Schizosaccharomyces pombe: one gene and its partners. The protein of the gene in region 2 purifies or fractionates together with the protein of the main gene of each other region. This does not show direct contact. Each region holds a gene or a part of one and is shown on either strand. Other genes may lie near its edges.

What was found.
Region 1: the proteins of tti1 (region 2) and tel1 purify together in Schizosaccharomyces pombe (affinity purification with mass spectrometry, with the first as the bait; one study listed by BioGRID). This does not show direct contact.
Region 3: the proteins of tti1 (region 2) and rvb1 purify together in Schizosaccharomyces pombe (affinity purification with mass spectrometry, with the first as the bait; one study listed by BioGRID). This does not show direct contact.

The regions. Positions count from the first base shown.
Region 1 is NC_003421.2:1,272,960-1,280,271, forward strand, and holds the start of tel1 (ATM checkpoint kinase), read right to left. Parts: upstream 4,583-7,312; 5' UTR 4,477-4,582; coding exon 1-4,476. Other genes in the region: pdr16 (sec14 family protein), read right to left, coding at 4,914-7,312. UniProt on the Schizosaccharomyces pombe protein: Serine/threonine protein kinase which activates checkpoint signaling upon genotoxic stresses such as ionizing radiation (IR), ultraviolet light (UV), or DNA replication stalling, thereby acting as a DNA damage sensor.
Region 2 is NC_003421.2:1,419,216-1,429,765, forward strand, and holds tti1 (TTT co-chaperone complex, armadillo-type fold subunit Tti1), read right to left. Parts: upstream 6,653-10,550; 5' UTR 6,632-6,652; coding exon 3,335-6,631; 3' UTR 1,931-3,334; downstream 1-1,930. Other genes in the region: NADP-specific glutamate dehydrogenase Gdh1, read right to left, coding at 242-1,597; SPOM_SPCC622.14 (GTPase-activating protein), read left to right, coding at 7,883-8,095, 8,417-8,494, 8,573-9,001, 9,062-9,307; SPOM_SPCC622.15C (uncharacterized protein), read right to left, coding at 9,891-10,550. UniProt on the Schizosaccharomyces pombe protein: Component of the TORC1 and TORC2 complexes required for the regulation of the cellular respons to changes in available nutrients.
Region 3 is NC_003424.3:4,921,412-4,928,147, reverse strand, and holds rvb1 (chaperone, AAA family ATPase Rvb1), read right to left. Parts: upstream 3,902-6,736; 5' UTR 3,885-3,901; coding exon 3,741-3,884; exon of another isoform or gene 3,688-3,740; coding exon 2,461-3,687; 3' UTR 2,083-2,460; downstream 1-2,082. Other genes in the region: SPOM_SPAC1B3.01C (uracil phosphoribosyltransferase), read left to right, coding at 230-328, 550-1,052, 1,145-1,202; protein Min8, read right to left, coding at 1,276-1,353, 1,419-1,489, 1,538-1,610; SPOM_SPAPB8E5.08 (uncharacterized protein), read right to left, coding at 4,257-4,568; ribosome biogenesis protein Rrp12, read left to right, coding at 4,818-6,736. UniProt on the Schizosaccharomyces pombe protein: DNA helicase which participates in several chromatin remodeling complexes, including the SWR1 and the INO80 complexes.

The DNA.
Region 1 (7,312 bases), 150 kb from region 2:
CATTGCGATTCTCTTAAGAAAGTGACCTCTTTCGAACAGTTTATTTGAAACCTCTATCCATTCATTTTTGGTTGTCATCACTGAACGTACAAAGTTTATTTGACAGCGTAAAAATCCATAACCTTCATACTCAAAATTTAGTAAAGCAGTAACGTAACCATCAAACCAAGTATAAAAATCTTGGATAGCCTCCATCTTCGTACCAATAGTGTTGTAGCAAAAACCCAAAAAGTCCATACAGAATTCGGCTAGTTGAAAGAAATAATCAAAATCAGTAGGTTTGAATTTTTTCAAATGAAAGCGCGCAATTCCTAATCCTAGTGATTGGGTACAAGGTATTGAGAGTAATTGTCTAGCTATCCTAAGTACTATCATTACCAAATAGTTTGAAGTGATAAAAGGATCAGAGAAACATAGAAAAGCACACAATCTAAAAGAAATAGTAACTTGAAGTTCTTCATCCGTCGCAAAGTGTAGTTGTATTGCAAGTCTCCTTAAAACTAAATCAATGACTGAAGGGATAGAGGAGAAGCCCTCTAATTCTTGGAAGAGTCTATTGCAATACCATAACACAGATTTTGTAGAAAAGAATGGTATCGCTGTGCTATTGTTAAAAGAGACGCGATTGGCAAAAATTGTTAATTGTGAGTACACCTTAAACGAAGTTGAGCTTATAGATTTAAAAGTAGAGCCTAATTCTTTAACCTCTTTAAGCATCTCTAAGCAGAACAAAAAAGCTTTGGAGCGGTTGAGTAATTCCACATCAAGTGCTTCATCAATAGAATTAAATCTCAACGAATACTTTTTATTCTCTACTTCACTTAGATGAGTATAAGTTGTTATAACAGGGATCAATTGCGTATACTTTTCAGAAAAATCAACAGACATGCGTGAAGTAATGAGTTTAGCCAAGGTTATATTCTTAGTCAGAATAAGAACAAGTATAATTTCGTCGCTGTTTTCTTTTAAAAAATCGGAAAGGCTGAAATAAATTGGTTTGTAGGGGAATTCTAGAAAGTCATTGGTTGTATTAGAAAGATCTTTGCTGACGAATGACCAAAATATCTCTAACCTGTATATTCGAAACAGTTGCTTAATATTTGCACTCTGAATGTGAAGCTTACGAAGCAAAGGTTCAAAAATAGTTGACGTTTCATAGCTGTTTGCAAGCTTAAGCAGCTGATACAACAATGCTGATCGATTGGAACTTATTGACAAAAAAACCTTTAAAGTCAAATATAAATAGCAGAAGCCTTTATACAATGACTTCTCAATTTTAATGCTTAAAATTGGGAGAACAAAACCTTCAATTAACGTTTTATCACATTTTTTAAGAAAAATCACCAAATCGTCAACAAAGTTATAAATAACACAAACATCAGAGTCTTTAAGAGTTAAAGAAATCAATTTTTGATAATCGAATTTTGAATAAACGTGAGATGTAGGGGATAACTGAAATATAAATTTTAAAAAAGTTTGTCTACCAGATAATGATGAAAATTTAGTCTCAATAAAAACCTTTTCAATGAATTTTGTAATCTTCACAATAAGTTTCAAAGTTGCGTCCGTGAACTGAAGTTTAGAATGAACACATTTTTGAAATATTTTAATAAAAATCATTAGATAGACTTCGTCTCTTTCATAATCATAATTCATTAAAATTTTTTGAGCCAGTATTTCAAGACATTTGTAGAAAATAGGTTCGGATGTCCGCGCAACATCTAGGAAATATGCACCAATTGCAGACATACCAAAACAAAAAGTTTCAATGGGATACAAATGAAGAATATTAATTAAGCTGTCATGAGGATGACTAGAAAAGTAGTCGATATATTTTTGTAAAATAAAAAGATCAGTATTCCGTATTTGCTCAAGCGATCCTTCCATCAAACCAAGTATTTGATGATTCCTGATTAAATTTTCTGGCCGATAAATATCTTCTTCCTCCTGGGAGAAATACTCATCGTGATCAAATTCTTGAGGCTTTATGAATACGTTTTTAGAAGCCATATCCATTATATAAAGAACCAAGGTTTTGAGCGGATTACTGTCTCGAAAATGAGTTGAACGAATTAAGTCGCTTCCAATTTCATACCGAAGATGTTTTGGCTCATCAGAAATAGTAAACTGCAAATTAGTAGAGATGCAATTTATTATTGGGTCATAACTGTGATTAGACTTAACGAAAGAAAGGACTTCAGGGAATAAATTTTTAAAAATGACAAGATTGTTAGGAGTAACATTATGAATACCTTTTTTCTGGATAAAACAATTTAGAAAGCCACATAAAAATGATATCTGAGAAAATATCATAACTGCTTCGAAGCTTGGGGTTTCCTTGTCAAGCTCATCTTTGTCATAAGATGCTGAGCTAATTTCGTCTATCGAGCTCTCCAACATTTTAATGACATTTTGCAAACTATCACAGTCAATAGTATGGTTACTATTGAAAGGATAGCATCCTTCTGTAGACTGTTTACATATTTCGTCAGTAGTATAAGGAAAACGAAGCGTAACAGGCGACCATGCTTCTTTGAGGTGAAACAAATTACGTTCGAAAGGTGATCGTATTTCTGTGGTGATATAAGATAATGACAACGGTCTATAGAAGATCATCATTAACAAATCAAAAATGATAATAGAAGAATCGGTAAATGAGAAAAATGGTAGTTCACCCTCTTTGCTGAACAAATGATATAGATGCCACTTCAACCATTTTAGAAACACAGATTTAAAAGAGCTTTGACCAACAAATAGGTTTTCATTAAGTAATATGTACAGAGATTTCCAGTAATCAATGGCTTCATATGAAAGCATTGGCGAGTAATCATTAAATAAAATAAACTGTTGCTTTATGAAAGGAAAAATGCTCGCGAAGCACAAAGGCCGATACATGTTAAAATAAGTTAAAATTTGATAGCATACAGGAGACGTAACAGAATTCAGGAGACCACGAGAAGCAGCAGCCAAAATTTCCTTTTTACATGAAGTCGTAAGCATCGAAGAGTAAGCTTTGTTGTAACAAATGTTGAACAATATAAAAAAAGACCAGCTTTGAAGTTCATTTTTTTTCTCAGTAAAGTTAAGACTCATTTTTTGAATTGACAATAGATCATCGTTTGTTAGATTGTCAGAAATAGCAGTGATAATTACCATGAGTTGCAATGAAAAAGAGGAAGCCGAGATATTGGCTAGCTCAGCTTGCAAAAGCAGTTCCTCTATTTGAGAACATGTTTTCTGCTTTTTGTTGGCTTGCTCCGTGCTTGCTAAGGACAACACGGTTTTTTTGAGGAGAATTAGTTTTGCAAGAAAAAAATAAATAAAGTAAGATTCAAAGAAAGAATTATGTCTAAGAGAAAAAAAAAGGTGTAGCCGTGGATCGTAAAGTTTTGCAATGTTGTTCTTAGGCTCAACTGTATGGAATCTAAAATTCGCAAGCGATAATGAGGAGCGTTTTCCAAAAAAATTTAAGAAATTTTTTAAAGAAAAAAACGAAGAGTTAAGAAGATCTAAATTAAAAGATCTAATGGAACGATGGGGATCCCATGTTTCTGAATTGGACCAAAGTGGATAAGAAATGGCTAAGCATTGTATAAGCTGCAATCTTAAATCCAGACGCTTCCATTTATCAGAGTTTATAAGAATCTTAAAGACTAATAAAACAACGCTTGCGGAATAATCATTACAATTGGGGATCGCATATGCACATAACTGAAACAAACACTGCAAAGCTGGTAGATGCGCATCTGTTTCTTCCGTGTAAGCATAAAAAAAGAACTCAAAAAATTTCAGCAGTTGCTCACTAACAAAATTAATTGGAGCCGCATACCATTGAACAAGAGAACGCATAACGTAAATGAGCTCAACGACTTCTTGCTTTACTCTTATAACATCGTGCGATTTCCAGATAGATATTTCTTGATAGTTTTTTTGGCTTATTGGCTCTTCTTCACTATCACTAACATAAGTTTCTTCAGCTATACTTAGTTTTTCAATAGCTTGACAACAATAGGAAACTAGTGATTGCCAATCCGAGAAACGAAGATGATGCAAATGAGGAGAATGGGATAATAGTAGCCGAAGAGCCTTAGAAAAATTCAAACAGACTACCTCACATATAGAACCATTAGCTGTGAAAGTATGTCTTAGAATTATATCTAGAAGCGCTAAAATATGAGGCTCCCTAAATAATAAAATATAAGATTCAACACATGTTCTTAACAAATAGCTAATATCTTGAAGCTTCTGCTCTTGGGAAGCTTTGGAAATTTGACGTTTACCATGATTAGCAGAAATTTGCCATTCAAGTTCGAATGCTCGCTTTATGGCCTTTTCGATTATTAAAGCATCTTCCTGATTTAGCGAATTTCCATTTCTGGAGTAAATTATGTAGCTGCGAAGATTTTGTAGAGCATCTGATCGTGTTTTGATTTTTGATGAAGACAACTTATTAACGATGTCATTTAGAGAAGTCATAGTATTACATCGAGTAAAAGTTATCTTTTCTTCATTAATATATTAACATATTTGGCGTAAACTGATAATTGAGTAAAAGGTTACGCGTCTCCAACTTTTGGAATTTGGAAGGTTCATTTAGCGTGTACGAATTTTACAGATGCCAAGTTATAAATTGAAGTGTGGTAATTCTTCTTATTGAAACTAAAAAGCACGAAACTATCAACTATATAAGAAAAAAGGAATTAAAACAAATGATCTTCTTTGGAAATATCAATGACTCTACTGTTAGCTAAATATGTACAGTAATAGTGGATTTTCTTTTTTCAGCACCGAATTATTCAAAAGCCCTCTATTAAAAGTTTTCAAGGCTGTAAAAAAAGAAATCATAGAACTAGCTCAATTGCGAATAAAGTATAAGAGAAAAGAGTGAAGAGGTTTCGAGAGCTTAAGAAAAACTATTCTATGCTATCCGCGGTGATAAACGAAACAGCGTCGCTAAATGAAGCCGTAGAAACATCTCGTGCATGCGAAAAAGCTGGTGTTTCTGAAACACCGGAACCAGATTTGGGAAGAAGATCATTCTCGGCATCGAGCCCAGCATCAGCTTTGGTGGATTGAGCAACAGGAATAGAGTCCTCCTTTTTTGTAACAACAGGCGTCGATTCCTCATCTTCAACGATAGAAACAGGCCCCTCATCTTTGACAACGGGCTTAGGATTCTCAACTCGTCTTTTTTGAGGAGAGAGCTCATCAGCACTATTGGTTAAAGTCTTTGGCTGTCTATCAGTATTTACAGTTGGAGTAACAGTTGGAGAAGATGAACGATTTGTCAATGAAGGACGTACATACTGTTGCATTAATTCAACATATTCCTCTCCACCCTTCAAATCCCATTCGCTTGTACCTATTTTAGATCCCATCTTCCTCCATTTTTCCAAGATGCCAAGACGACGTGACTTGCACAATTCCACCAACTGGGGCCAGTACTTCTCATGATGATATTCAAAATGAAGAGATCCACCAAAATTCGAATCTAATTGATCCTTAGGGACATAACGATCCAACGGTTCATTGAACTTTAACTTCTCTCGTGTAATAGGGTCAATAAATGGAGATATCAATTTAAAAAAACCCCATACAGCCCAAGGAATATTAATAACAAGTGCTCTTCCAAGACGCTCACAATAATGAGTTTGCAAAATATTCAGTACCTCTTTACCTTGACCAACGCTGGGATTTGAACGATTGGACGAAGACTTGAAATTAATCAACAAAGCCAATGTCTCTACTCCTGGAGGCATAAGATCAATAGCACACTCCAATGAAAAAACCAGATGCCGAATCTGCAGTGGTGAGGTTTTAGTGTTTTGCCTAGCTGGATATAGGTATAAACAGGGACGACCGTCCTTGTCGTAACCTAGCAATACTTGCTTACCAGTTGCATTCTCCTCTTGGATTTCATCAGGATCCATATTATTAACACCGAAGTGACGACGCCATACCAAAGTATCAACAATACGCTTTTTTGCATTGGAAACGTGCCATTTAGTAGCACGCAAATATCTAAGGATGCATTCGCGTGTTAGCCAAAGACGCTCCAACTCAATCAAATCCGTTTTCTTGCTAGAATTAGACGCTACAGGAATCTCTTTTAATTCCAAACAATATTTAAGTACTTCTTCATACATTTCTTCTTGTTCAGAAGTCAAATTCCGATAAGTGGGAGCCATAGGACAATTTGCATCAGGATAAGGAATTGGTGCATTCCAAGTACCATCAGGATCTAATTCCTTAGGGAACTCAAAAGATGCTTTAGACTTCAAGGCAGGACTGTTCTCATTTGCTTTAATTGGCGATGCTACCGTTGACTTAGTAGAGATAATAGTAGATTTATTAGGAATGTCAAATGATGCAGCTTTTTCTTGAAGCTTTGGAGCAGCTTTAGCAGATGCTGCTGGTAATACCTTATTAGGAGTAGAGGGCGCTGTACTGCTGCGTCCACCTTGGAATTTGGGAGCCACCTTGGGACTCATCGCTGGCAACACTTTACTAGGGGTGGAAGGGGCTGTAACGCTATTGCCACCCTGGAGCTTCGGGTTCATTTTAGGAACTGTACTTGGTGGCACTTTTCTAGGAGTAGAAGGTCGTGTGTCAGATATACTTTCGCTATGCGGTTCCGGATTTACTTTAGGACTAGTGGTAGTTGGCAACGGCTTTCTCGGAGTAGATGATTGTGTCTGAGAGTTTTCTACCAAGGATGCTTTACTGGAATTATCTTGACTTGAGGGATGATCTGAGCCGGATTCTGGAATTTTGTTATCAGTGCTCAACAAGCTTGGGGGGCTATTTTGCACCACCTTCTGTTTATAGAATTGGCTAGGAACGATAGTGTCATACGAAGAGACAGATTGTCTTTGGCGCTGCATTGTCCCAACGATTCCTTCAATGTCTCCTTCAGAAGAATGGAACTGAAAATGCCTTTCATCAGTGAGAGGGGCATTGGAGGCATGTTCAGTTTTCATCGCATCCTCAGTCACGGCTTTTTCATCTGAAATAAAACGACTAGAGTCGACGTCAGTTTCTTTAGCGGCTTCATTTACCGAAGCATCGCCTAAAGAGGTATCTCTTCCGTCACGTTCCAAATCACCAACAACAACTTCAACGTCTCCGCGAAGTGAATGAAACTTGTAATGCTCTGTGTTTGTAAGCGAAATTTTGGTATTTTCATCACAAACAGCTTTTTCAGATTTTGCAGGGACATTAGCAGATACAGGATGCTCAGTAGGTTGTTTTTCATCAGAAACCGTCTCACTGCTATATGCTACTGCATCCGGTGATTTTAGCGGATTATTCG
Region 2 (10,550 bases):
TCAAATGATCCTTTTATTACATGAAAAGTCTACATAATTACGGGTACTTCGTATTCGAAGCATCTGTGAGAATAATTCAAAGACTGATTTATTTTTTTTCGTATGCATCATAATCATCTAATAGATTCATAGCTTTTTAAAAAAATTGGTAAAGTAGAAGAGGTACAGAAAAGCGAGTGACTTGAAAAAACATATACAGATACAGTGAATCAAAAATGCCTAAACATTTCACGAATGAAGTCTACCACCAGTCACCAACGGCTTGCATGGCAGTAGCAACCTTCAAGAAACCAGCAATGTTGGCACCATCGACAAGACTGGGAATGTTGTTAGAGCCAGAGTCACAATACTTGGAGGCGACATCGGTGGATTGTTCAAAGATGTTTTGCATAATTCCAGCCAATTTAGCGTCAACCTCGGCATGAGTCCAGGTAGAGAATTGAGCATTTTGAGCCATTTCCAAGCCAGAAACGGCGACACCACCAGCATTGGCAGCCTTACCAGGAGCAAGCCAGCAACCCTCACCAGAAGCACGAGACTTCTCAAAGACTTCAACGGCCTCAGCAGAAGAACCCATGTTGGAGCCCTCAGCAACGTAGCGACATCCTTGTTTGATAAGAGCGGCGGCTTCCTCACCGCTAACTTCGTTTTGAGTTGCACAAGGCAAAGCAATGTCAATTTCACCAACATTAGTCCAGGGACGAGCACCGGCGATGTAGTGATGCTTCTTGCAAAGAGAAGCAGAGTCGGCAATGCTGGCACGCTTCTCCTTTAGAGCCATAATTTCATGGATCTCTTCAGGGACAAGGCCTTCAGCGGTCTTTGCAATTAGGACACCTTTAGAGTCACTGATACTCTTAACAATAGCGCCTTCTTGAATGCACTTCAAGGCAGCATATTGAGCAACGTTGCCGCTACCGGAGATGGCAACACGCTTGCCCTTCAAGGTCTCGGCACCCTTGGTGCGGTGTTCAATCATGTGCTTAACATAGTAAACGACACCGTAGCCAGTGGCTTCAGGACGAATGTTGCTACCGCCGGTAAGCATGTGCTTGCCGGTGACGACACCACTGTACTCATTGCGAAGACGCTTGTACTCACCAAACATGTGCATAACGACAAAACCTGTGACACCAATATCACCAGCCGGTACATCAGTTTGAGGACCGATATAGCGGAAAAGCTGACGCATGAAAGCTTGCGAGAAGCGACGAATCTCGTTGTCGGATTTGCCCTTGGGGTCGAAGTCAGAACCACCTTTGCCACCACCCATGGGAAGGCCCGTCAAGGCATTCTTGAAAATTTGTTCAAAGCCCAAGAACTTGAGGATGCTCAAGTTGACGGAAGGATGGAAACGCAATCCACCCTTGTAGGGGCCCAAAGCCGAGTTGAATTGGACACGGTAGCCGGTGTTAACACGGCAGTTACCTTTATCGTCCTCCCATGTGACGCGGAATTCTAAGACACGTTCGGGAATGGAAATGATTGGAAGCACACGCTTCAACTCGGGATGAACTTCAAAGAGCTTGGAGCTCTCGATGGAGCCCACAATCTCCTTGTAGGCTTGTTGAAATTCAGGTTCGTATGGGGTACTCATGGTGGGCCAAAAAAGTAAACAAAATCGAAGGTAGTGATATAGAGTGTATATCTATATAATAATGATAAGTTTAGAGAATTCGAGATATCAAAAAAAGGCGACCTCGAAAACTTTTAACAATACAAATACAGGCTGTACAATCCAAAGTTCTATACAAATCCGTATTCGACGCCTTCAACGCAAAGACTTTCAAAATTTAACTACAATCCAACAAAACTCTTACAACGTGAGTATGTAAGAGATATCGATCCGGGTTCAAAACGCTTACCAGATGTACCAGTGCAGTGTAGCAGGAGGATTCAGGGACGTGCTGGCCATGTCTGCTATATTTATACACTTAACAAGCAATAATCAACAGTCACACCAGATACCTTGTTTTTTGGGAGACCATACGTTTGCTAATGGCTGACGACTTGCAATAAACCTGATGGAAGAGCGATGGCGGAGATAACAGACGAATAGGATGTAAGTATGATGTCAAAATCTCCAATCACAATGCTCCTATATATCTCTTTTCTCTATAATTGGATAGTGGAAAAGAAGATTACTTAAGCGGAAAATTTCCGATCTGATAAGCCAACCCCCTCACAGAATTCCTTCGTCTCCTGCTCAACCAAATAAAGATAAGATAAGCATTGCTTAATGATTGGTCCGTGCAACGGCTATCACCCACCCTACTGAAAATGTGGGGAAAACGCAGCTCCTCCGGGAAAATCCATGGAATTATAGAAGATCCTTAGTGGGATGGGGTGCTTGGGGGGGGGGGAAAGATGTTTTTAGATGAAAAAAAAATGTTTTAGAGAGGTTAATGTTGTAATATAGAAGATTTTCGCTTTCTGTTGATTAACAGTTTCTATAATTTTTTTAAGAAAAAAAATCTGGAAAAGTCCAAGTCCTTTGTTAATCTAATCTCGTTCCAATCTCTCACATCCATTTAAAGGGTCTATTCTTTACTCCTTTCAGTTGCTGCCCCCTTACTGATAACAAGGATAACTAAGGATAGTACCAAAAGAAAAAAACGCTAAATACTGAAATAGGTCGAATCACACTGAAACGGGTAGGTTCTTCCAGGCAGACCAAATCGCAAATACATATCCGAAAATTCGAGTAAACGGCCTTGCCTCGGTTTTACAGTATGGACTAAACATTCGCTCATCCAAACGTATTGCGCCTTAGCAGCCATAGTCATGACTAGCTTTCAATAGAAAAAAGACAAACGAAACAGAGTCATGAAATTCGTAGCGTAGATGTAAGTTAGAAAAATTTCAAATTTCTTTATTTTTTGGTCTTCTGATAACCCACTATCCCACTATCGTTTGTCCATTTATTCCTTGCCCGATCATGTGGCTGTTTGCTTTGAATCTAAAATTGGATAGAAAATAGTTCATTCGAAAGATTAGCGAAACTACGAAACAAGGTGCGATCGTCGTTGTGCTCGGTAGCAAGATGAGTTTGTTTTTTAGTATAATTTAGGTAGCTGCCAGCCTCGTTTCGTCAACTTAGCTAAATTCGTTGAGTCTGACTCATTGAATGTAGGTAAAATGGCTCATCTAAATCGAAACAAGTTGAATCGAGTACAGCCTTAGTCAAATCAAATAATGCCAAGATGAAAAAAGTCGAGCCTTTGCCAATATAATTTTATGCGATGTAATGGAATTCTTTGCCTGATTTTTAGGCTCTTTGTATTTTCTTTTAAAACACGGAAAATTCTAAAACTGGTAACCACTTTTATTATCGTTAAATGATGGAAATCAATGGTTTTTTAGCTCCTTTTTTCGGTTGATTCAAGTGTAACAAATTGTCCAAAGAAGGGAGTGGTTCCTCTTGTGTCTCGGTTTTCCCGCTGCCTTGTTGCCCAAGCAAATCATTGAAAACAGTCTCCGACGTCTTTGCTCCGACAGGTTCCAAAACTTCATGTGTTCGGCGATATGTACGTTGAACACGTTGCTTTCCCGGAATTAACAATTCAGTAGAGAAAGTGTCAATCATTTGAGACCCTCGAACTTCTCTCTCATAATACACTGCGTCGGGATTTTGCTTGGAAAATGCGTTCCAAGTTTCTTCCACCAATGATTCATCCCCCGCATACTTTTGAGACATGTGAGTAATGGCTCGTATGATGGGTGCCGTTATCCCCATAAGCTTCAAATACACTACAATGCTCAATTTGTTAGCCACACATGCTGAAGTTACTTTTAGCATTGCCCTTTGCAAACGATGCTCACTAGAATATGTTCGAGCAACATTGAAAAGATGCCAACGTTGGCACAACGTCTCCAATCGTGGAAGCAAATCTTGGCGAATCCTAGATGTCATAAAATCATCTGCAAGGGCGCAAACTTGATATATAGTTTCTAATGCGCATTCTACTAGCAGTTCGTTATCCGTGTCAAGCTGAATAACGACCAATGGCCAAAATGTATTAATAGCAGGATAAAATGTGTTTGGCTCCTTAGCCAAAACATTGCTTCCATAGCTCAACAATTTTAACATTTCCACTCGTATCGTAATTTGTTCATGTGATAAGAATAACTGCGCCTTTTCCGTGATTTTCCTTACCATATCGACGACATCATCTTTTTGCTTTTCTCCTTGTTCGTCCATAACATTACTATTTATGTTTTCATGATCAACTGTGGTCTCACCCATATTTTCATTTTCTTTGCCCTTCTTTTCTTTTTCCTTCATTGCATGTTCGCGAAACTGTTCATGTCCACTTTTCGTTTCTTGTTGTTCATCGTGTATCATATCCTCTAGTTCATGATCATCTTTTGGAAGAGGATAATTAGGGTTCTCTAATAGTAGTTGAACGAATTCGCGAATCTTTTTACATGGCTTATTTTTATCCTCGTTCATTGCGTCCTCCTCCACCCCGACGATGAGCTTTTTCTCCTCGCCATTTATACTTTCTTGCTTTATTATGGCATAAAGAATTCCAAGCAACCCTTCTGTAAGCCGTGCGTAACCATGGTAAGCATCCAAAATCCCAAAAATAGCATCCACTACATCTCCAATGTACCGAATGCATCCTCCATCGTCATTCTTTATTACATAAGCCATCACAATTGGAAGTTGAGGTGATACGTCTAATGTGTTCAATTTGAGGGCAACTGAGTTGACCACATAGTCAATATTTTCTCTAAGTAACTCTGCTGGCGTCGAGTAGTTGCAATTTGTCGCAATTGCTTGAATACATGCCTCTGCAAACGAAGATACATAAGGAGAAGCAAACGCCAAATGTTCAAGGAGAGGATAAAAATATGCCATTAATTTTGATCGAAACTTTACTCCTTGTAAAGAAGAAATCCAGCTAATGCTGTCAATAGCAATGCAAGAACGAACACACAAAAGATTATACTTTTCCTTTTTCTGCTTATCCTCCAACGATGCTTTCGTAAAGACATTTAATTGCGATAATTGTTGCAATACTTCGAATGAATATTGCTCTAATGAATCAATATACATTTCCAAACTGTCCACCGTTTCTACGTCACTTTTCAAAAGTACCATAAATGCCCAAAATGCACGAACCGAGTTTTCATTTGTTGCTGAGGTAGCCTTAGAAAGTAAGGACTGCATAACATATTTAACATTAGGTGCCTTTGCGAAGCTTGTAACAATCTCTTGTGTTGTTCTTTCCATCTCATTTCCACCAAAAAATTCACCATGGATGTACTCATTCGAAGTACTGGATGTTAAAAGCTTCTGCGAATTGGAATCAATTCCCGATGACTTTGGTACAAGTTGGCTGAGTATACCATCCAGTAAAGGCTCCATGAGCTGCAAAGTCTTAGGAAGATGACTGGATATACTTAAGAGACTTTTCAATCGGTTCAACTCCTCCAATTTATTATCTTCTGAAGCAAAAGTGGAAACACTAGACCATGTAGTAGACCAATCATTTAGGCATTCAGTTAATACTGATTCCATAGTAATATTGTTGAATGATTCAATGAGAGAAACGAGTTTGTTCATCCCATAGTCCCTTAATTTTGGATTTTCTTTTTTATTGATCAATTTTAGCATGCTCTCTAGTAAATGAATCCTACAATCTTTTAGTGAATCTAAACAATCTCTAAATAGGATAAAGCAAAAATCAAATAAAGCATCTTGTACATGTAAGTTTTGTGAAGAACGAAGGTGAAGAATTGCCTTGACGGCATTGCTTAATTGTTGGCAGGTAGCGCGTTTCCAAGACTTTGTACGCTTCGTTGGGCCAAAAAAATGAGAATTAGAAGAAGCATCTTTTTCATCTGGCAAATCTTTTGTGTTATCGTCACTAATAGCTTTCACCACTGTATCACCTAAAATATTCAAAGAGATACACACGTTTTTAAAATACTGACAGGTTCCATTTGGCGCCAGTCCCTTTGTCAATCCCGATACTATGCCAGGAAGAAAAGTAGTAAGAAATTCTGTTGGTAAGCGATATTGCTTTGGGCATATTAGCTTTTGGACGCAACACAATGAGGCAAACTGTAATCTCCGTGAGCTATTTTTATTTGGAATAATATCCAAAGCACTAGAAAGAGCTCTCGCAAAGAGAAGATACTGTCTTTTATCGTGAAAATTAGGCTTAAAATCTGTAATAACGTTCTCAAGCGTTTCGAAAGTAATTTCTCGAACACGAAAATCTTGTTCCACAGTTTCCGAAGGAGATTTCCATCCATCTGCTATATTAAGAAGCATCAATAATAGTTGCATCGTCAACATTTCATTATGAGCTTCCCTCCAACCATGCTTGTAAAGCAAATTCACGCACTGAATGGCATACTCCACTCCTGTACTTGGGACACGATACCAGGACTTTAGTACAGGTACAATTGGAAAAAATATGTAATCGCATAAATTTAGTGGTAAATCGGCGTCTGTATTGGTCAATGCTTTTTCCAGCCCAAAGTACGCATCCTTCAACGAGTTCTTTAACCCATTGGAGTCAACAGATGAAGTTTCAGAAGATAGAGGAAGAGAATAGAAGCTTAACTTTCGAAAAGGATCTCGAATTTGTGCGAAAATACTCTGTATATGAGACATGTAGAGAAACCATGAAGTTATAGAGATGGTAGGTCATATACAAGCAAACCATTTAAAAATGCATACTTTTGCGATTGGAAATGTATATGATATTACAGTATTCTCTAATAAATAATTCAATATTATTCAAATGATTTGAATATTTAATGTCGTGCTAAATTATAGCAAGTGTTTTGACTAGATGCACAGCCAATTCCCAGTCGGTTTTCGTGAGAAACATTGAAAATATTTAGCAAAATGAGTTGCAATGATTTGACTTTGTTCTTAAAAACTTGGAAAGATATATTGCAAAAAGCTGCAAGTTTTAGGGTTACATTCAAGTTCTTACTGATGACCATTACTTTGATCTCAACTAAAATTTTAAATTAAAGAGAGAATTTTTGAAGCTATGCAATTACAATAATAATAACTTCGTAGCCTTTCAGCCTTTTAGCGTATCTGTTTACATTGAATTAAAAACTCGATAGTATTATTTTATATTTTTTAATAAACATTTTAACGTGTGTGTCGAAAGACATATATATAGTATAAATAATTTGTAGCTCAAATTACTTTGCTATGCAGACTAAGACTGGTTTAATGTGTGCAATGGAAGTAGTGGATGTATTCACTCAAATTTATAAGGGTATAACCTTTTTACTAGTCTAGTTTTGTAGTTTCAAGCTTCTAGTCCTCTATAGTCCTTAAAAAAGTCGTTAAGTTCATAAAGACGATACAACTTAAGAGGTAGCCAACTCATAAGAGATTTTCTGCTACATACCTTTAACAAGCGAGGAACACAGTAATTTCTGAATTTCTATTTGTAGTCAAAAATCACTGAATTATCAGTTTGTTTCAAAAACGAGAGGATTGTTTAAACTAATTTGCATTTTCTTAAACCAAACTTATTGTAACTTGAATAATCTCTTTAATCTATTTATTTTGAAGGTCAATGAACTCTTAGACAGATATGAAAATTGCTCAAAATAATACCGTAAGCTTTCCAAGAAACTAGATGCTGGTATTTTAAACAGTATGGATCAAAAACAAGAAAAAGTTGAAACTCATAAATGCATTCAACTGCACGACATATTTATTTCCTTCATGTTTTGATTTTATATACTTGGAATACGTTTCACCAGATCTTTAACGTTTTCTTACGCACTTCCATAAAATCTCACACCATGGTGAGACATGAAAATAACGAAATTTCAAAGTCACTTAGAACAAACTACAATTAATGAGTTGGTTGTTTAAATAATCTAATAAAAAATGTCGTATAAATTAGACCAACTCACTCGTCTTCCTGAAAACAAGAAATGTTTTGATTGTGATGCTCCAAATCCACAATGGGCATCTTGTAATTTGGGAATCTTCATTTGTTTGGATTGCAGTGGACAGCATCGTGGTTTGGGAGTCGAAAAGAGCTTTGTCCGCAGTATTACCATGGACAATTGGAGTGAACGTCAAGTGAAGATGATGGAGGTAAGCATCAGGATTGATACGGGCTATTGGAGTTTGTTGGTTATTTTACCAAAAAAAAAACATATATATATAATAATTCATTTGGCTGAGAGGGTAGCGCTATTGATCTGCGAGTTTGCTTGCCGCTATTTCGAATTTTTTCCAAGTCATTTAGTGCCTTTTTTTGACAAGAATAATGTTTAATGTTAAAAACAAGTACATGACGCGCAATTGATTATCACCTGAAGTTATAAAATGCAAGCTCACTATAATTTCATCAATGACTTGAAACAACATATATAGCCCACATTTGTTGCATGCTCCTGACTAACTTCTATACAGGTTGGTGGAAATTCTAATGCTAAAACATTCTTGTCTACAGACCCGATGTTTTCTGCTGCCGGAAGTATTCGTGAAAAAGTATGATCTTTGAACCTTCTATATTTTTTCCAGTTTACCTTATTTTGATTTTATTCACATTGACTAACACATTTTAAGTACAATACCGACATTGCTGAGGACCTACGACAAAAAATTCGTGCCGAAGTAGATGGTGTCGAATGGGTCAAAGTTGATCGTCCTAAGAGCGTTTCCTCTCATGCTTCTGTAACTTCATCTTCAACTGTTCCAACTATTCCATCAGTTTCAAAAGAAGCAAATGATAAATATTTTGCAAAGCTTGGTTCCATTAATTCCCAACGCCCTGATGATTTACCCCCTTCACAAGGAGGTCGCTATCAAGGGTTTGGAAGCTCTAACTCTGTTAATCCCAATTCTTCTGCTAGAAATAACGGTGGCTCTTTTTTGGACCAATTATCATCTAATCCTGTTTCTGCACTTAGTCATGGTTGGAACATGTTCTCCAGATCTGTTTCCCAACAGATTCAAGACGTAAATAAGTCCTATATTCAGCCAGGGATTACAAAGGTACAAACATTTTATTGTATCCAAAAAATAAAGTTTCTGTTGTACTGACTCTGTTTTTAGGTTCAAGATCCCGAAACAAGGAAGGATTACATGAATGCCATTAATAATTTCTCTAGTAACGTTCAGGAAGGTGCTAAGCAATCATTTACACAACTTAAATCCTTTTTGGATGAAAATGTATATTCCGAAAACCCCCAAAACACCCGCGGTACTTATGATGCGGAAATCGACTCTCCTTATTCAGCTCTCGCTGCCTCTCCTCCACCTGAAGACTATTCGAAAAAGAATTTCGATAAGCACGATTGACTTTTTTATTATTAAACTCGTAAGCAGTTTGATATGTTTCATTGCTGTTAGGAGTGCCTCGTCTATCAAGCATTCGTCAGCTAAAACATAAACGAAGAACGCTACCGATAAAAAAAATATTGCTACTTCATTAGAATTATCTGACATTTGAAGCTTCTTCAAGTATAATACATGGGGAACTGAAAAAAAAAGTTTGTATATATTGAAGACGGAGTCTTCTTGTTTATTTCTGTTACAAAAGTTTCATCGTTTTAGGCTTATAGTTCAAAACAATGAAAAAAATGATAATAACATATTTTATTTTCATTAGCATAAGTTGAATGCCGGCTAAATTTTAAGAAGATAACCGGATCATGTGCTTTCTTGAATAAAACCAATGACTTTTTTCTTTTTTAGTCGACGATGCCTAATCGGTATGTAGAGTGGATTTTAAAAGAAAACAGGAAAGACGAAGATATGAGGATATAGGCATTGCCGGTCATTTTCCAAAACAAAAATGCTGGTCATAACATAATTAAATCAAAATGCTTAAAAGCTCAATGATAAAAATCATTCTAACAAAAGACAATAAGTCATTGACCCATCAAATATGGTCATAAGGCGCACTGCCTCCAGTGTCTAAGTTAGACAACGGCTGGCTAGTAGCATTGGCTGATTCGTTACTAACTGGTACGTAATACTGATTTGGGTCATAGTAATAAACGAAACCGAAGGGGGGAGTTGAGACCTGACTAGCAGGTGAATAAGATCGTAAAGTATCGGCAGCAGGATTGGACATTACATTCATATCACTGCCAGAAAATGGAGGAGGCATATAAGGATAGACCGCGGGAACGGTGGAATCATAATTTTGAGGAAACGACCAGTAAGTCGGCATAACAGAGTAGGATTGATATGCAATCGGACTATTGGCAGTAGGTAAAGGGGTTGTGTACATGGTTCCCGGTGCTGCAGGTGCATTACCAGCGGGAACATTGGTCATGGATGGCATTTCACCGGTAGTCATATTCGCAGAAATATAAGCTTGCTGAGAATCATCTCTTGCACGTACATTAGAGGGATATATGGAAGTAGGGTACGTAGCGGAATCAGCGCTAGGATGCATATCCACAACAGGAGCGTTAGAAGATCCCGGTGTGGCCGAAGGGGACTTTGAAGTTGATGGAAATTCCTCTTGAAATGAGGGTGAAGGATACATTTTGTCATTTGTAATAGGAAAATCGTAAGGGACAAATCCAGGAGG
Region 3 (6,736 bases), on a different chromosome or scaffold from region 2:
GCTAGAGTAGAAATCTTTTACTGCGCTAAGTAACGCATTAATCATAATTATGTTATTATGAAATGATGTTGTAAATCTTTATTTATGTTTAACGAAATATACTAAGGTTGATAAAACTCATTTTGCTATTGATAGCTTAAAAGCAAATGTGTTATTGTGCTTTTACTTTTTACCATTTACTTGGTAAACAACTTGATAGGTAGATATTTAAGCATACATCGTCAAAAAGATGTCGCTGGTACCTGAGCATGGAAATGTGTACGTACTAAATCAGACAAATCAATTAAAAGGGTTGTTTACCATCATTCGTGATAAAACGAAACCTCGTGTATGCGCGTTCAGTTTACAACAGATTACTGAGTCAAGGTCTAAGAACTAATTGAAATGAATGTGTTAATATGTCCAAGAAATTTTAGCTTTTTCCTCTATTAATGGGGAGATAAATGTTTATCAGTGGATGATAGGAAGCATTCATTATCAGTTAGTACATTCGACAACTTCTCGTGTATTCTTTGTTGAATCTGTTATCCCTGCTAACATGATATTTAGTCTGAATTTATTTTTTATGCCAATAGAATCATTCGTTTAATTGTTGAAGAGGGCCTCAACCACTTGCCAGTGTCTTCAGCTAAGGTAACGACTGCTCAAAATGCTGAATACGAGGGTGTAATGTTTGATGGTCGTATTTGCGGCGTTAGCATTATGAGAGCTGGCGAAAGTATGGAACAAGGATTGCGTGAATGCTGTCGTTCTGTTCGTATTGGAAAAATTTTGATACAGCGTGATGAGGAAACTCATAAACCTGTGTTACACTACATCAAGCTTCCCGAAGATATTTCTAAACGCTATGTCTTACTTTTGGACCCCATGCTAGCCACTGGTGGCTCTGCTATTTGTGCTATGGAAATTCTTATCAACATGGGTTGCAAACAAGAACAAATCATTTTCCTCAATGTAATTGCCTCGCCTGAAGGGTTGAAAAATGTTCACGATCGTTTCCCCAATATACGTATAGTTACCGCCGTAATTGATGAGGGACTCGACAACAATGGGTATGTGCACGATACACTACAAGTGTTCATGAGGTCAATACAAAGTTGATCGCTATTTCATTCATGAATAATCTTTAACACATATGATTTAGATACATTGTTCCAGGTCTTGGCGATTTTGGAGACATTTACTTTGGAACGAAGGCCTAAAGTTGCTTTGAAAATTTGCTCAATTAAACACACAACCACGCACTAAACATTAAAAGACTAATTTTAACAGCACTTAATGAAATTGCGGTTTCTTAACTTTTGTCTCTTCTTTTTGTTGTGTTTGTGCTACCCAACTTGGTGAGCGTCGAATCTGTAAATATAGGTCAGTGGCCGTTGTTTAAATAGTAATAGAAGTTTGGAAATAATTGTACATACTTCAGGATCAGAATAAATCTTATATCCCATGGTAAATATTGCAGTGGACCCAGCAATTCCAATGAGGATTGCTAAAATTCGTTAGTGATTTGACAAATTCGGTTTTCTCAGTAACTAACCCAGAGGTTTGAGCTCAAAAGGAAGCCTTTGAAAGGCCCTGTAAGGTTTCATAATTCTTGATAAAACTGCCATTTGTACACTTAATAGTTAAGCATTCAAAGTCTTCTCTTCAACTTATATTGGGTTGCCCTTCCTCCTGGTCTCGTCATTATTGCTTTACTTTGGCCACACTTATGTAAAGTGGTATATTGACGAACTAACGAGGCATATTAATATATCATAACAAACGGGGTTGCTTACTGTGCGCTAAGAGTACTGTGTGTGTTGATAAAATTGCTCAATCGATGGTGTTGCAATGTAAATAATCAATTTCTAAAATGACGACGAAACAGTTATCGCAGATGGGGAATTTTTTTTCCGCGTATTACAAATGTTGTATTACTCTTTTTGTCTATCATGCTTTATGAAGTTACTGTTGAAGTTTTTTGCCTGTTATTCGTTCTTTAGCACTTGCTTATCTCAAGTGGCAGCTTGTCCTTTCGTGGAAGTAGGAATCAAAAATGAACAGAAGATTTATAAATAGCATTCAACTCAAATTTAAAAAAAAAAAAAAAAAAAAAAAAGAACTCACCTTCTTATAATATTTTAAGTTTATTTACAGAATGATTGCAGCTTTTGCAAAGTACTTCATACAGTCTTTCCATGCATGTAAAAAAACCCTAGGAGGTATTGAATTCTAAATAAATTCATTGATCCTGACTTTTATTTAGGTATTCATAAATGATTACAGTATAAATAAATGCCGGAATGGAAGGAATATAACTGGATAAAAAAAAGAAGAAATTGGTTAAGCTTAAAAAAAATTTACAAGTTTATAAATAAAAAGGTATATATATTCACAACCTGTGTAAATCTAGCTAGTTTCGCATATAACCAAAAAGTTGAAATAAGTAAGGGTAGATCGTTATTAAGGATAATATTTTTATTGAAGGAAGCCTGAAGATGATTTAACAACTTGAGCGGAGCGGCGAGCATCTAAGAAAAGATCGTTACATTCTTCGATATCTTGTACACCAATCTCTTTGTTACCATGCAAACTGGCAATAATGCTAACGGGTGTCAACAGTTGTATAACATAACGGAGACTAGTACGAGAACCTTCTTGAGCCAGCTTGTCCAAACACTCATCAGTAAGGATGATGTTTTCAACTTTTGCACGTATCTGCAAAATGGAACGAATTTCTGACTCTGAATAGGGGAGTGTGCGAACTATTAGTAATCTGTCAAGCAAATCCGTAGGAATACCATGGGGAGCTTGAATATCCTCAGTACCCCGAATGGTACAAATGCCTCGATTAGAGGCAAAGATAACAATAGGAGAAATAGTGCTTTCTAGGGCTTGGTTGAGATAAGTAAAGCACTCAATGTCTAACATATGAACCTCGTCGATGAACAAGACACCAGGAATAAGTTCAGCGATTCCTTGTTCGATATATTTGTTGACAACCTTGTTAATTTCACCACGAAGCTTATCGGTGATTTCAGTTTTCTTGGGCTTCATTAACTGACCCATCATAGACATTATATCTTGTCCTCCTTGAGGGCGGGCATTGGCAATATCCAAATCATGAAGAGTCACGTCCTGAACAATTTCTTTCCGCTTGTGTACCTCACCTTTAGGCATAGGAACATATTCTTCCGCTTCTAAATCGAACTCCGTAGCATACGCATCGCTACGACCCACTCTCTTTACGGCACCTGTATTGGCTTCTATGTAAATAACGTCCCCGGTTGACACTTGTTCTCTTTGTAAAGATTCGTAAATGCTAGGATCTAATTTGAGCTGTTTGGTACCCTTATGCGTTTTGAGGCCCAAAAGGACGTGTGAAATGGTTTTTCCATAACCGCCCAAAGGATTTTCGGCTTCTTCGGGAACCATTTCTGTAACCTCACCCTCATACACTTCTTTTGTTTCCTTTACCCGAAGACCAATGGCCCTTCGAAAGTTTTCCATTAAAGCCTCAGTTTTCTTTATTTCACTAGAGTAGACTTCACTTCCCACCATAGGACAAAAAGGAACTTTAGGACCAAGTTCTTGGGCAATCGCCAAGGCCAGTGCTGTTTTACCAGTACCAGCACCTCCAGCGAACAATACACCTTTACCACCAAATTTTTTAGACTTGATTAAATCAGTGATGATGCCACAAGCCTAAGAAAATATATTAGAATACATTATATTAAAGAATTATCAGGAATGCTTACCTCACGAGCCTTTTCTTGTCCAATGAAACCTCCACCAACAGATTCACAAGTTCCATCTTCTTTTAGGCCTAAACCTTTGATATGTGAATGTGTAGTAATCCTATTATCACGGCCATTTCCCTTAACCTCGCTGATTTGGACCATTTTATAAGTAGTTGGTTGAGGATAGCTTGCTTTCAAAATGTGACATTAGGGTTGGGTGTAGCAAAATAGTACCAAGTTAAATAAGAAGAAAGTAGAGCTGAGGTAATGAAAAAGACAGGAAATGAAATAATAAAGCAAAGAGGTGTATTCTTTCTTTAAAAAAAAAAATTAAACAGAAATTAACAATCGATTTTTGAGGAATTCTATTTTACTGTATATGATGCAAAAAAAATAGTAACTAAAACTGTTATAACGAGTACTTAAGTAATAAACGCAAATACATCTAAATGTTTTCAAAAAGTTATTCTTGATTTATTAATGAATTATAATTTTCTTATTTACATACATCCCATATGTTGATTAACTACCATCCTAGAATAGCGATATATATTTAAATAAATACGGTGAGCATAAAAACGAATAAAAAAAAAAATATATATATATATATATTGAAAACTTGTTTGGATTGCTTAATCCGATGCTACTACTGTTTCGCTGATTTTTTCTTCTGCTTTTTTTATTTTTAATCTCCGGGCAATCTGTAATCCTTCGATAGGTTTTGTAGTGCTTAAACGCTCGCTCATTTAAGATACAATAAAACATAATTTTATTAGCGACAGATAAATAAATGAATATAAACGGTAATAACTTGGGAATCATTTGTTTACATCTCAATTTTCTCATGTACCAGGAAAATACCCGCAATTCCGTCTAGCAACAGCGAATTAATGTTTATCAATAAATTTAAACTTAACCTGCCACACATCGTGATCCATCAAAAGATTGGTAAGGAAATTTCCTAATTTCACAATCTTTTTTCGCCAAACAAATAACGATGTGCAATGCACTGCGAACATATCTGTGAATTTCGCACTGATGTGGAGTTGTCTTTCACACCATCCTACAGGGAAAGTTTGGGCAGGTTAAAAATTCATGGCTGAAGTGAATGAACCATTGCAAATTGAACTTCGAAAGATTCGAAACAGCTCCACTGCAGGTGTCATAAACGAATTCGATGTAATCGTTAGTGCAGTGGAGGGGACGTTGAAGGAGCAAAAAACTGAGGCGACACCAACTGCTTATTTGGTGGCCCTTCTAACTTTAGTTAAGGAATTCACGGACTTAAAGAAAAATTTTAAGGGACACACGTTTCAACTACTGGAATTGGTTATTAAGTATGTGCCCTCTAATGTTCTGCAAGCAAAATTTCCCCAGATCTTGTCTGTCCTTGCTCCAGTTGTAAATAATGCAGAAACCAATAAAACCGTCCTTCTCCCCTATCTTAATGTTTTGGAGAAGCTTTTACTTCTTCAGGATTATAGCTCTTGGACTCATGGCAATTCTTGCAAAACTTCTATCTATATTTTATTATTCTTTGCATTGTCCAATACTGAGAAGACGAGAGTACGTTCTTTGCAAATTCTGGCCAACATATTAAAAAATCCTCCGGCAGGTCCTGTAACGGAGCATCCTGCTATAAAATATACTGCATTCGAGCCACTTCGTCTTTTGGAGTCGCTCGCTACTGCCAAAAAGCCCAAAACTCCTGCAGAAGTCCAAAAGCTTAATAATAGTTTGGTTCTTATTCGTGTGCTTTGTTCTTCTACACATTGGCCAATGACTCTCGTCGAAAGGCTATGTAGGTCCTGCGTATTAATTGTTGGACAACGAAGCACAAATTCCATTCTTCTTGTTTATCAAATTTTGGATGGGTTGTCAAAAAAATCAGTGGATTATACAGATGCTGTTAGTCTACGAATGACTCTGATTTGTTTGCAAAAATTGGAGCCATCAGAACACGATCCGATTCTGATGGTAGGCTGGTTGAAGGCCATGAATACGGCCATTCGCGCCTTTAATATTTTAGACAAGGAGACTGCAAAATATGAATGCCTTCATAGATTTAAAGCTTTCTTTACTTTGTTGGAATCTGAATCGATGGAGATTCGCTTGCAAACGGCCACCACAATTTGTTCTGTAATTGGTTGTTTGGACACTACTCCAAATTCATTTGCCGTTGTCGAAGAAATCTGTTCCTTTATTTGTGATGCATTAAGGGATATTCGTTTTCGTCTTGCTTACCCAGAATGCTTTCAGATTATCTCTTCTTTGTGTGACAAATTAGGTCCTCATTCAGATCCCTATTTAATTCCAGCCTTGGAGGTCATTGATTACCTTAGGGGATCGGAAGGGTTTGATGGAAAGGCACTGGTTGATGAAGCCATTGGCTCCTTTGTTCGTGCAATTGGTCCCGAAGCCATGTTACGTGTTCTCCCTTTGAATTTGGAATTGAACGATAAGGATGCCGTTGGGCGCGCGTGGCTTCTTCCCGTTTTGCGTGACAATATTCGGTTTGCTAATTTAGCCCATTTCACTAATTATTTTGTCCCTCTTAGTGGCCAACTTTATCAAAAGGTAATTGAAATGAATGATCTAGATAGCATTCCCTCAAAATTATTGCAAACTCTAGTTGACCAGATCTGGTCTCTCCTACCTGGTTATTGCTACTTGCCTTTGGACTTGCAATCATCATTCACTCTGGAATTTGCTAGTATTCTAGTCAATGTCTTGTACGAACAAGTTAGTCTAAGATCAGTTATCTGTAATAGTTTAACTGCTTTGGTTGAAACGAATTCTAAGGTGGCCGATAAGCTACCTTTAGATGATGTGATATCAGTTCCTGTGAGTGCATCTGACGCATCTAGTAATTTAGCTTTTTTGACTAATATGTCTTCAAATTTCTTATCAGTTTTACTTAATGTTTTTTCCTCCACTCCTTCACAATATCGCTATCCGATATTGAAGTGTATCCAAACTTGGATATTTATATCTTCTAATGATACTATTCATTC